3 linked regions of the Nothobranchius furzeri genome follow. The protein of the gene in region 1 interacts with the protein of each later gene in a biochemical or structural test. Links are inferred from orthologs where the notes say so. Each region holds a gene or a part of one and is shown on either strand. Other genes may lie near its edges.

Region 1 (3,655 bases):
AAAGCAAACAAAGACAAGAATCTGTATTTCCTTTAGCTAAAGCTGACCTTAAGTCCAACATCCTGCACTCCAATGTGGTTCCTCTCGGGTTTGGACTCTTTTCCTGACTCGTCGCTCGTTTCATCGTCCTTGAGCCTGTTAGCCACCGACTGAGCCGTCTTCACCATGTTCTTCAGCTCGTCCGGGTAAGGGGTTGGGTAACGTTTCAGGTTTCCCTCCTGGAAAAGAACAACGCTCAGAAATCTGCTGCCTGGATGACTAGACTTCTGCTTCCTCCATCACCGTTAAATGTGCTTCTGAGTACAAACCTGTGGCCTTACTGAACAAACAGAATTCGGTCCAGAGCCAAAGTCAGGACCCCATCTGGGTCATAAACCTGCCACAACTAGATCTTCCAGCCTTTTCCCCAAACACCTTACCGACAGCTTTAGTTTTCTTATGAATAGGTCTGACTCATTATATAAACATTTTACAGACACTACAGTGACATCACCTTGATTTGGGGCCAACAACTACATCTCTACTTCTGACTGGAGAAGTTTCTGCTTCCTTTTAAAGCTGCAATCAGGAGAGAAATCATAGCGCTGAAACTGGAATGGTGAAAATATAATAATTAGTTTATTAATTCTTCTTGATTTATGAGCTGCATTCCATACCATTTCTCATTTAATTCTTCTACAGCGTCTTTTTATAGGAGTCCGCGGTGTCGCTTCATCTTTGTTCACCTCATATTTATCGGACCGTTCGCACTTTGTTAAAATTAAGTCGCCTAACTCACGCTCCACATCTGTCTCCAGCGGGGTCCCACAAGGCTCTGTCCTGGGCCCTCTGTTTATTATTTACATTCTCCCTCTTGGGGATATTCTTAGGAATCATAACATAACATCACTTTCCACTGTTATGCTGATGACATCCAGCTATATCTATCTTCCTCCCCAAATGTCTGTCCATTACTTCACCGGCCAACTATCTGAATGAGATAAAAACCTGGTTTTCTCATAATATTTTAAAACTAAATAGCAACAAGACAGATATTCTTCTTGTCGGAACTAAATCTATAGATTACTAACTCAGTTTTCCCCTCTTTTCTATTTGACAATAACATCCCATCTCCTTCACAGGTTAAAAGTCTGGGTGTCATCTTGGATAGTAATTTGACTTCACAGCTCACGTCAAAACTGTTGTTTGTTTAGCAACTGCGCATTATCAGTCGGCTACGACCATTTCTTACTCAGACCGATGCCAAAATTTAGTTAATGCATTAGCCACATCCCGTCTTGACTACTGCAGCTCTCTCTTTCTGGTATCTCTCAGAAACTCCTGCATAAACTACAGCTGGTGAAAAACTCAGCGACTTGTTATCACCAAGACTCCGCTTTCTCAACATAATGCACCGGTTCACCCTGAGTTGCATTGGCTCTCAGTTGATTCTCATATCCAATTTAAAATTCTCTTAACATTAAAAGCTCTAAATAAACGTGCACCCCTCTACCTAACAAACATTCTTCTACCTTATACCTCATCGCGCACTCTCCGTTCATCTACCAGCAACTCACTGACTAGACCACAAGTTCGCTTGTCATCTATGGGTTTTCGGTCCTTGGGCTCACAATACAAAGTGTAAATATTTAGAAGGCCAACTAGAAGTGTTCATGTAAGAGGTGTTTCTAAATATGGAAGGGGGTTGAACGGCTTAAGGTGTAATACATCTTTCCACCATTGGAGGAAAAACTCCAGATTTCTACTTTAATAGCCCAAATTTAGGGTCCTTCCCAGTAAAATGTTTTTATTCTATTTTATGTAAAATAATAGACATAAAAATATAGAATTGAGTTATCTAGTTTTAAATCGACATCTGTATAGTAAAAACATTAATATTTGATGTCTCTTCTATTGTAATTTTGTTGGTTAAAAGCTGGGAAACAGACGTCCGCGGTACTGGGACTGTTTAGAGGAAAGAGCTGCTGCTGAGCCGGTCTGAGCTGTAGTCACTCTAACTGGTGTGACGATATCTTGCTACAAATGCATTATGGGGGAGGGAGGGAGTTCCATTTGTGCTGGTAAACAATTAGTAACTTAAGACCCATTTGTATGACCATCAACAACCCCCCCCCGGCATTACCCCACACACCCTTCAACCTGCTCAACCTGTGAAGCAACTTTCTGTTTCTTTTCAGCCGTGACTAAACAACGAGTTACTCTGGAGACAGACTGGGAGTACACCATCAGCGTTGCACCCACTTCCTTTTTGAGAAGCTAAAACACATCCCCGGTAATCCTTTTGTTTGAGTTATCGGTTTAATAAAAGAAAAACCTTCCTGGATTTAAAACTCAATGCTTGTAGTCTGTTAGCGCTGCTGCTTGTATTCTTACCTAAATACATTCATCTGCCTTGTTTCAGCTATTTTTACATTTATTTTAATATTGAACATAATCTGTACATCACGCCAATTATTTTGACTTTCTTCTGTCATTCTGTAACCAATCCATCTTCTTAAATTTAATTCTCTCCTTCTGTTTGACCTCATTATTAGGGCGACATTTAACATACAACACAAACGGTAACATGTGCGTCACTGACCTTTGGGGGCGTTTCCCTCTCATCCTTGTCCTCGTCACAATCGAAGGCCACCTGAGCTCGCTGCTTCCGCTGCTCCTCCCAAAGAGCTGGATTGAAACTTTCAGAGTCGGAGCGAGGAATGACTAAAACCAGACAATAATATAACCCATTGTTGAACTCATTACAGTTCCAGACCATCCAAAAACTAGGCATTCAGTTTCTTTCAGCCTCACATTGGCCACCAGGTGGCGATAAACAGGTTAGAGAAAATTTAAAAGCCTTGACAGAACCTGGAGGAGAAAATACAGCAAAGCTAATAAATAAAATAACCAAGCTGCAAGGCCGCCGTTATTAAGAAAGGGCTTCCAAAATCATCAGTTATGGTGTGACCCTGGCGTGCACAAACAGGCTCTCTCAGGTGTCTCGTATCCTTTAGAGACAGCGTGTGGTTTCCTGTGTTAAAAGCCTCCATTTAGCAACATTTACGCACTTCTGCACAAGATCCGATTTCTCATCTCAGCTTCGCTCTTGCTACCAGAAAACAAACCTATGGAGGATATTGGGATCATCTCTTCATTGCAGCAAGTTTGAAAACAAAAACCCAAAGCCATGCAGCATGAAAAATAAATGCTACAATTGTTAAAAACAAGAATAATAATAAGAGGACATTGTTGACAGGAAGTTGAGCAGATTTCTTCACAGATAATAGCTTCAGTGGTGGTGTGACAGACTCGTTCTTGAGCTCAAACATTCAGATCCTGAACCTAATTACTGCAGAGCTCAGGTGCAACAGGATCAGTGCAAACCGGCCGGTGTAATGGAAACCCAAAGCAAAGTAACAGCTGGGAGCCTGACAACAAGATGGAGACTTGGGTTTCTTCTGCAGCTTCGGGTGACAAAGTCTCTCATTAAAGATGCAGTTAGGGATTCTTGTAGGTCACCTATAAGCTTGTGCTAACAAACGTGGTAACTTCAGTCCTGGAAAAGCTTTAAAACACCAAAACCAAGTCCTTTTAACTGAAACCTGAATTAATTCGCTCGGTGATGCTGATGCTGCAGCCTTCAACATAAGTGATCCTTAATCAGTCAAAACAC
Region 2 (3,755 bases), on another chromosome or scaffold:
ATGGGCCAAATATCAGTTCAGAGGTGCCCACCCTTTTTGGAGTCCCTGGGACGAGTGCTAGATAGTGCTCCATCAGGGGACTCCATTGTCCTGCTGGGGGACTTCAATGCTCACGTGGGCAATGACAGCTTGACCTGGAGGGGTGTGATTGGAAGGAACGGCCCGCCTGATCTGAACTTGAGTGGTGTTTCGTTATTGGACTTCTGTGCAAGCCGCAGTTTGGCCATAACGAACACCATGTTAGAACATAAGGATGCCCATCGGTACACTTGGTACCAGGGCAGCCTAGAACGCTGTAATCCACCCGCTTCTTAAAAAAACGAGTTTCGACCCCTCTCTCCATAGCAGCTTCAGACCCGTCTCTAAACTTCCGTTCATCTCCAAGATCTTGGAAAAGGTTGTGGCTAAACAACTCACAGCTGCTCTAGATCAACATAACATCTATGATAGCTTACAGTCAGGTTTTTCTAGTGCTCATTCTACTGAAACAGCTCTTCTTAGGGTCTCTAATGACCTTCTGACTCACAGTGATGCAGGGGACTGTTCTGTTCTGGTCCTGTTGGACCTGACTGCAGCCTTTGACACTGTTGACCATCACCTGCTACTGGAGAGGCTGAGAGACTGGGTAGGCCTATCAGGATCTGCTCTGGAGTGGTTCTCCTCGTATTTCTCTGAGCGCTCCTTTTCTGTGGCCGTCTCCAAGTTTAGGTCCTCCACCACCTCTCTTACCCATGGTGTCCCACAAGGTTCTGTGCTGGGGCTTCTGCTCTTCCTCCTCTATCTGCTTCCTCTTCAGCACATCCTGAGCTCCTATTCACTCTCTCTCTTTCTTAACATTTTTTCTTTTAAATCCCAATCGTCTATTTTTGCTAATTTTAAATATATTTTTAAACATTTTCTAAATGCTTTTTTATGTTTTTACATTTTTTGTTTTTGTGAAGCACCTCATGATTTTTATCTTGAGAGGCGCTATAGAAATGATATTTTCTTCTTCTTCTTCTTCTTCTTCTTCTTCTTCTTCTAAGACAAAAATTCATTTAAAAAAGGCTATTCTTAGAACAGATATGAGGTGTATAGGGTATATCTATACCTTTCACTATTTCAAATTATTGTCTATTATTATTTTTATTATTATTAATAATATTATTATTGCACCAGGTGTGTCAGCTCTACAGAGTTCCCCCCAGTCTGAAGTTGCAAGTGAAGTATTGTGGCCACAGGGCAATAGGGGCTGGGTGGCCTTTTGTTAACCCTGTAAAGGGTCATTTTAAGACATCCTGGCTCAAGAAAAGAATTTTAAAATATGAAACTGGTACTCAGTATACATTTAAAATGCTAATTACTGTTATTTTTCTACATATTAGAATACATGATTGCAGAAATATTGACTGGAACTGGCTTCTTTACTGTCATGACATGTGGACTGATTGTCATACATGAAAACAAGTAAAAAAAGCTCTTAAGAGACTTCTGAATGGCTTTATGTGTGATATATATATATATATATATATATATATATATATATATATATATATATATATATATATATATATATATATATATATATATACAAGGCTAAGTGAATGCAAAATTGTTATGTTCACTGTTAATTGTTGTAATTGCATTCAAGCAGGGTGCAAAAAGATGACCAATAGTTTCATCTGAGATTGTTCAAATATGGCTGTTTTAAAGCTTTGGGGCAAACTCACATGCACATGGGACGAGAATACCACAAGACTATTGGGAAAAACAACTCTATCGATCAAGTCAAATGAATGCAGGCCATTTTCCAAATAAGGTAATTACAGGAGGGAAACCGGAAAAATCTCCATGGTAACTCATTCACTAAGTGGAGGACCAAAACAATGGCAGCCTGATATGATTGGCAGTCCGCTCCATCACATCTCACAGCAAAAGATGTGATGGAGCGGTAAATACTAAAAACGCATTCTATTTCGTTGTTGGCTGCAATGAAACATTTGAATCTCCCGTGGCGTTTCTTTTTAATTAAAACGTAGCAAATAAATCATGGATGTGCTTTCTGATTTTCATCAATTCCTTGTTAAGGAAGCCTGTATTTCATTTGGGATTTTCCATAGCGTTATTTTAAGATCGCACTGATTTTGTTTTAGTCACACCCACCTCCTACTGATGTGCAATATGGCACAACTTGATATTCTAATCGCCCAAAAGAAGAATTAGCCTAGACGAGGAATGCTCTGTGTGTGTGTGTGTGTGTGTGTGTGTGTGTGTGTGTGTGTGTGTGTGTGTGTGTGTGTGTGTGTGTGTGTGTGTGTGTGTGTGTGTGTGTGTGTGTGTGTGTGTGTGTGTGTGTGTGTAACAGCTACCTCCGGCTCTTCTGGTCATCGCTGTCTTCTCAGTGGAAGCGCGTCCGTCCCGTGATGAGCGCCACTCCGAGCCTCAGATAAAGACCGTTATTTCGCGTGGAACGTGGCTGCTGCAGGGACAGTCTACTTTACGAGCGCCAAATATCCAAACACATACGTCAGATTCGCCTTGCTCTCAGACCGAGCACCACGTGCGACAAGTGAGCAAACTTCACAGGTTTCAAAGTTATATTTAAAGCGTGTGTCGTTTAAATTGAGCGTTGAGTTGAATGAAAAGCAGAGCCGCCTTTATCCCCTCTCTCATCAACAAAAGTGCTGGATGCTGTCGGTCCCGGGCGTGTCTCCGCCCCTTATCCAATCCAACTGAATTTATTTAAGAATGGTCTAATTTACCTTAGATTTGTTTACTTCTTACTAAAACAGCTTACTTCCTCTAAAATTGTGAACAAAATACAAGTGTTTATTAAACTGCCTAATGTTTTTAAAAGTGCACAGAATCAATAACGAATTTTAGGTCTAAGAGGATATCACATACATTAGAGCTAAAATTCATTATCGATTCTGTGCACTTTAAAAAACACTAGGCAATTTTATATATGTGTGTGTGTTTGTGTGTGTGTATATCTGTGTGTGTGTGTGTGTGTGTGTGTGTGTGTGTGTGTGTGTGTGTGTGTGTGTGTGTGTGTGGTATTTTAATTTTTTCCCCTAATATTTATTTCAATGACTGCAACACATTTTTTCTCCAAACATTAACAGTGAGCTTTTATTTTTTAGTAGAATAACCGGAAGTGGTTTCTTTTCTTTTTACAACTACTCGGGACTTCCGTGCTTTTCCAGCCAATCACGTCTAAACTCTGAGCCCCTTTGGATGTGCGCTCGTTTCTGTTATTTAATGTCCCGACGTGGGCGGACATAAGGCGAATTTCCAATGAAAAGTCACTGTGTCGTGAAGCAGAGAAACGATTAATACCAAATCGAGGAAACCGAATGTAAACACTTCCTTTTGGTTTGTCAACAACGGGAGTAAAGGGGCGTAGGGTAAGAACAACTAAGAGTGCGTTTCAGTAAGTAATATTCAAACAATATCAATAAAGTAGCTGAAAAGATCATTTGTGTATATAATTTTGTCGCTAAGTTCTGGTAAGAAGCTAAACTTCGTTGTATCTATCGCTTGTAAGTATGCTAACGTTAGCTATTTCATTCATAGGTTAAGTTTTTACTTAAATTATGTTTAATTTTTAACCAAAATTAGTTTTTACAACTATGGACTCAGTTACAAATAATAGACAGCTCAAGGTGACGGGGAGCAGCTCAAATTAGTTCGACTTGGACACATGACATCTTAAGAGGCTACAACCGTTTACCATCGTTCGAAACGAGTGCTAATGCCCTGTTCAGCACATCATG
Region 3 (3,755 bases), on another chromosome or scaffold:
GATAAATTATAGATTATGATTGTGTCAAGAGAAAACTTTTGAGCTTGCCAATTAGTTTCGTGTTTATGTGTGAGTGTATGTGTGTGCGTAAATCTGTGTGTGTCTGTGTGCACTCTGACGCGTGCGTAAAGCCTGTGTTTGGGGAGGGTTGGGGAGGGGATTCCGCTGCTGTTGAGCAGAAAGTGTCTCTACAAGATGCTTTTCTTCTTTGGAAAACAAAACAATACCACTAATAATAATAAACTACTGTAATCACACGTCAGTCTGAATGGATTTAGAGTTAGTACTGTTTTTCCTGCTTATGTCTGTGCCGTTTCCTTTACTGGGGCTCTTGTCCAGCCCGCACAGCGACTCCGTCACCCCTTCCTCCATCTCCATGTACTCCGCTTTGTCACCCAGCGATGAGCCAGAGGGTGAACCTTTGAATTTTCTTAGAAAGTCAGGGAAATAAGGGCATCCCGGGGGCATGCTCTCCACCACGGCGGGCGGCTGGTCGTCGTTATCCGTCTCTCGGTGGTAAAAGTAGTTAAAATTGGACACTATGACAGGCACCGGCAGCGCGATGGTTAACACGCCCGCGATCGCGCACAGCGAACCAACTATCTTCCCACCAACAGTGATGGGCTTCATGTCACCGTAGCCAACCGTCGTCATGGTAACCACGGCCCACCAGAACGCGTCGGGGATGCTCGTGAACTGAGAGGTGGGTTCGTCCGCCTCAGCGAAGTACACCGCGCTGGAGAACAGGATTACGCCGATGACCAGGAAGAAGATGAGCAGAGCCAGCTCCCTCATGCTGGCGCGCAGCGTGTGACCCAGGATCTGCAGCCCCTTGGAGTGTCTGGACAGCTTGAAGATGCGGAACACCCGAACCAGGCGGATTATTCTCAGGATGGCGAAGCTCATGGTGTGCTGCCCGTTGCCCTGGTGCTGCGCCAGATCCGTGCCAAGAGTTATGAAGTAAGGCAAAATGGATACAATGTCTATCGTGTTCATAATGTTTTTAAAGAAAGCTGTTTTGCTCGGACTTGCAAAGAAGCGCACTATAATCTCAAAGGAGAACCAGATGATGCAGACCGTCTCCACGATGAAGAACGGGTCGTTGAAGGGTGTGAAGCCGTGGTCCGGCTGAGAAGAGTTGTGTCGTGGCTGCAGGTACTCTTTTTCATCCCTGAACTCTGGCAGCGTCTCCAGGCAGAAAATGACAATAGAGATGACGATGACCAGGACGGACACCACCGCGATGCCCCGGGCAGGACTCGAGCTCTCCGGATACTCGAACAGCAGCCAGATCTGGCGCTTGAACTCGTCCTCCGGCAGAGGCTTTTCCTCCTCTTTCACAAAACCCTCATCTTCCCGAAACTTGAGGATCGCCTCCTCGCCGAGTTCGTAAAACTTCACCTCCTCTGAGAAGATGTCAAACGGCACGTTCACGGGTCTTTTTAAGCGCCCCCCTGACTGGTAGTAGTACAGGATGGCATCGAAGCTCGGCCGGTTTCGATCGAAGAAGTATTCGTTCCTCAGCGGGTCGAAGTACCTGATGCGCTTGTCGGGGTCTCCCAGCAAGGTGTCTGGGAACTGAGTGAGAGTCTTGAGCTGAGTTTCAAACTTCAGCCCCGACACGTTGATGACCACCCGCTCGCAGCAGCCGCACTCGCTGTAAACGTTCTCGTAGCCGGACTGAGGGCGCCGGTCGGTGATCGACACCGTCTCCTCATCATCCATGTTGCACAGAAAACTCGACCTTTTGCTGCCTCGAACCCCCTCTGCCGCCTCCCCTTCTTCCTCCTCCTCTTCCTCCGCTCCCTCGGCCTCCTCCTCCTCCTCCTCTATCATGATGTCCTCCTCGGATCCGAGCAGCGCCAGCTCCGAGTGGCGCAGGTCCCCGCCGAGAGTGCTCCGGTTGCGCCTCCACCGTCCGACGCCGCGCTGCTTTTTCCGCTCTCTGAGAACTCTGTGCTGCTGCTCGGGTTCCTGCTGATGCTGGGAGGAGGAGGAGGAGGGGCGCGAGGCGGCGCTGCTGCTGATGTTCGCGGAGGAGGAGGCGGCGCGAGACTGATGCTGGCGATTGTTAAGGAGATGAGCGCTCGAGGAGGCGGTGGAGGTGGACCCCCCTACACCACCGCCTCCACCACCTCCTCCTCCTCCTCCTCCTCCCTCCGCACCAGAGCATCCTTCGGCCGCGGCCGCTGCAGCCGCCGCTCGCGACTGGGCAGCCTGGCGCTCCCTCTCGCGCTCCCTTTCCCGTGCGCGAGCTTGGGCATATCCGTAAGGCAGGTGACTGTTGCACCCTCCGTCCGCACCCACCATCGCAAATTCCATTTTCAGTCGATCAGCGGCGCAGTAAGCGCCACGACAAGGTGTGGATGCAGAGCAGGGGAGAAAAGTTGCAGTTCGGCGCGCGCAGAGACGCGAGGGCACGAGGCATCAACCGTTCCCGGGAATAAGAGAAAGTGAGAACAACAAACACTCCTCAGAAAGGTCCATATTGGGTAGCTTCTTACATGATAGAAGATAATGGTCGTGGCTCGAGCACCCAAGATTTTATGACATCATTAGAAGCAAAATATAAACATAAGGATAATACAAATCCAAGGGCCAGTGGCATAGCCTGTTACGCAGACGCTCTGTCAAACTTGCAGCGCCGCTTTATGTGTTCATAAATCACCGAGTCAACAAGCGACACCAAAACAGTCTCTCCTCCGTTTCTCTGGTGGCCATCAGGTGGCTCATTCCCCCACGACCGAGGGTTTGCGCTCAAACGCGTCCTTTAATCCTCCGTGGTCACCCGTGGTTGCCATTTTATGAGGTGAGATCTATATTTGTGTTTCATTTGGATGGATCTCCGCTTTATTCTGGAGCTCCGATGAATCCGAATGACTTTTCCTCTCAGAAGCTGCGAGAAAAGGAGAGGATAGGATTTAGACAACAACACGAGAGAAAGGGACGTGTTAATATTAATGATCGCTGTGCATATTACGAAACTTCACACGCTTATTATTATTATTATTATTATTATTATTATTATTATTATTATTATTATTATTATTAATATTAATGCTTGGACGGCATTAACAAAACACGTTTCGCACGAAATCCTCTCACTAAGCACCATTATTTCATCCTGACATCCATACTTACATCCGTAAAGGGCCAAAAGAGCCTCAGCCCTCCTAAAAACACATTTGTTGGAAGATGATGAGGAGGCGAGGATACAGATTTTCTTCTGCGCTCAAACCTTCGTCTTGATTGTGAGGCGTGATAATCACAAATCCGTCTCCGTCTCCAACGGGCGACCATATCCACATCCAGCATATGCATCCGTGCTCTGACGCACTCTGAGGAGGGCACTTTTTCCGGCTGCGTGCATGTCGACGTGTTGTCTCAATTCAACAGGATCTGTTGGCACTTGAGCCTCAATTTCTGCGGCACCGCTTCTGGGGAATCAGGTGTTCACGCAGCGAGTTGGCATCTACGATGGCTCCACGCGACCGCGAGCAGAAGAAAACGAGGGTGGGTAAAAGTTTACCTTGGTTCGGGCGGAAAGGAACGGCCTCAGTCTGAGCATCACACATCTGTCTGTCTGCCGCTTTAGCTCTACCTATCTCCTGTATCCCTCCCATTGTGTGTGTGTGTGTGTGTGTGTGTGTGTGTGTGTGTGTGTGTGTGTGTGTGTGTGTGTGTGTGTGTGTGTGTGTGTGTGTGTCGTGTACTGCAGCGCGCAGGCGGCGCTCGGTCCTCCCCCAGTGGACGCA

What was found.
Region 2: the proteins of erbin (region 1) and arvcfb interact in a test that uses a peptide from one of them, tested with the Homo sapiens proteins (3 studies listed by BioGRID and IntAct, with this or other methods). The link is inferred for Nothobranchius furzeri from reciprocal best matches to the Homo sapiens genes ERBIN and ARVCF.
Region 3: the proteins of erbin (region 1) and kcna4 interact in a test that uses a peptide from one of them, tested with the Homo sapiens proteins (3 studies listed by BioGRID and IntAct, with this or other methods). The link is inferred for Nothobranchius furzeri from reciprocal best matches to the Homo sapiens genes ERBIN and KCNA4.

What each region holds. Positions count from the first base shown.
Region 1 is NC_091746.1:65,230,637-65,234,291, forward strand, and holds part of erbin (erbin), read right to left. Parts: intron 2,704-3,655; coding exon 2,582-2,703; intron 219-2,581; coding exon 48-218; intron 1-47. UniProt on the Homo sapiens protein: Acts as an adapter for the receptor ERBB2, in epithelia. By binding the unphosphorylated 'Tyr-1248' of receptor ERBB2, it may contribute to stabilize this unphosphorylated state.
Region 2 is NC_091757.1:31,733,609-31,737,363, forward strand, and holds the start of arvcfb (ARVCF delta catenin family member b), read right to left. Parts: upstream 2,484-3,755; 5' UTR 2,349-2,483; intron 1-2,348. UniProt on the Homo sapiens protein: Contributes to the regulation of alternative splicing of pre-mRNAs.
Region 3 is NC_091749.1:47,038,528-47,042,282, forward strand, and holds kcna4 (potassium voltage-gated channel subfamily A member 1), read right to left. Parts: upstream 2,511-3,755; 5' UTR 2,323-2,510; coding exon 253-2,322; 3' UTR 106-252; downstream 1-105. UniProt on the Homo sapiens protein: Voltage-gated potassium channel that mediates transmembrane potassium transport in excitable membranes. Forms tetrameric potassium-selective channels through which potassium ions pass in accordance with their electrochemical gradient.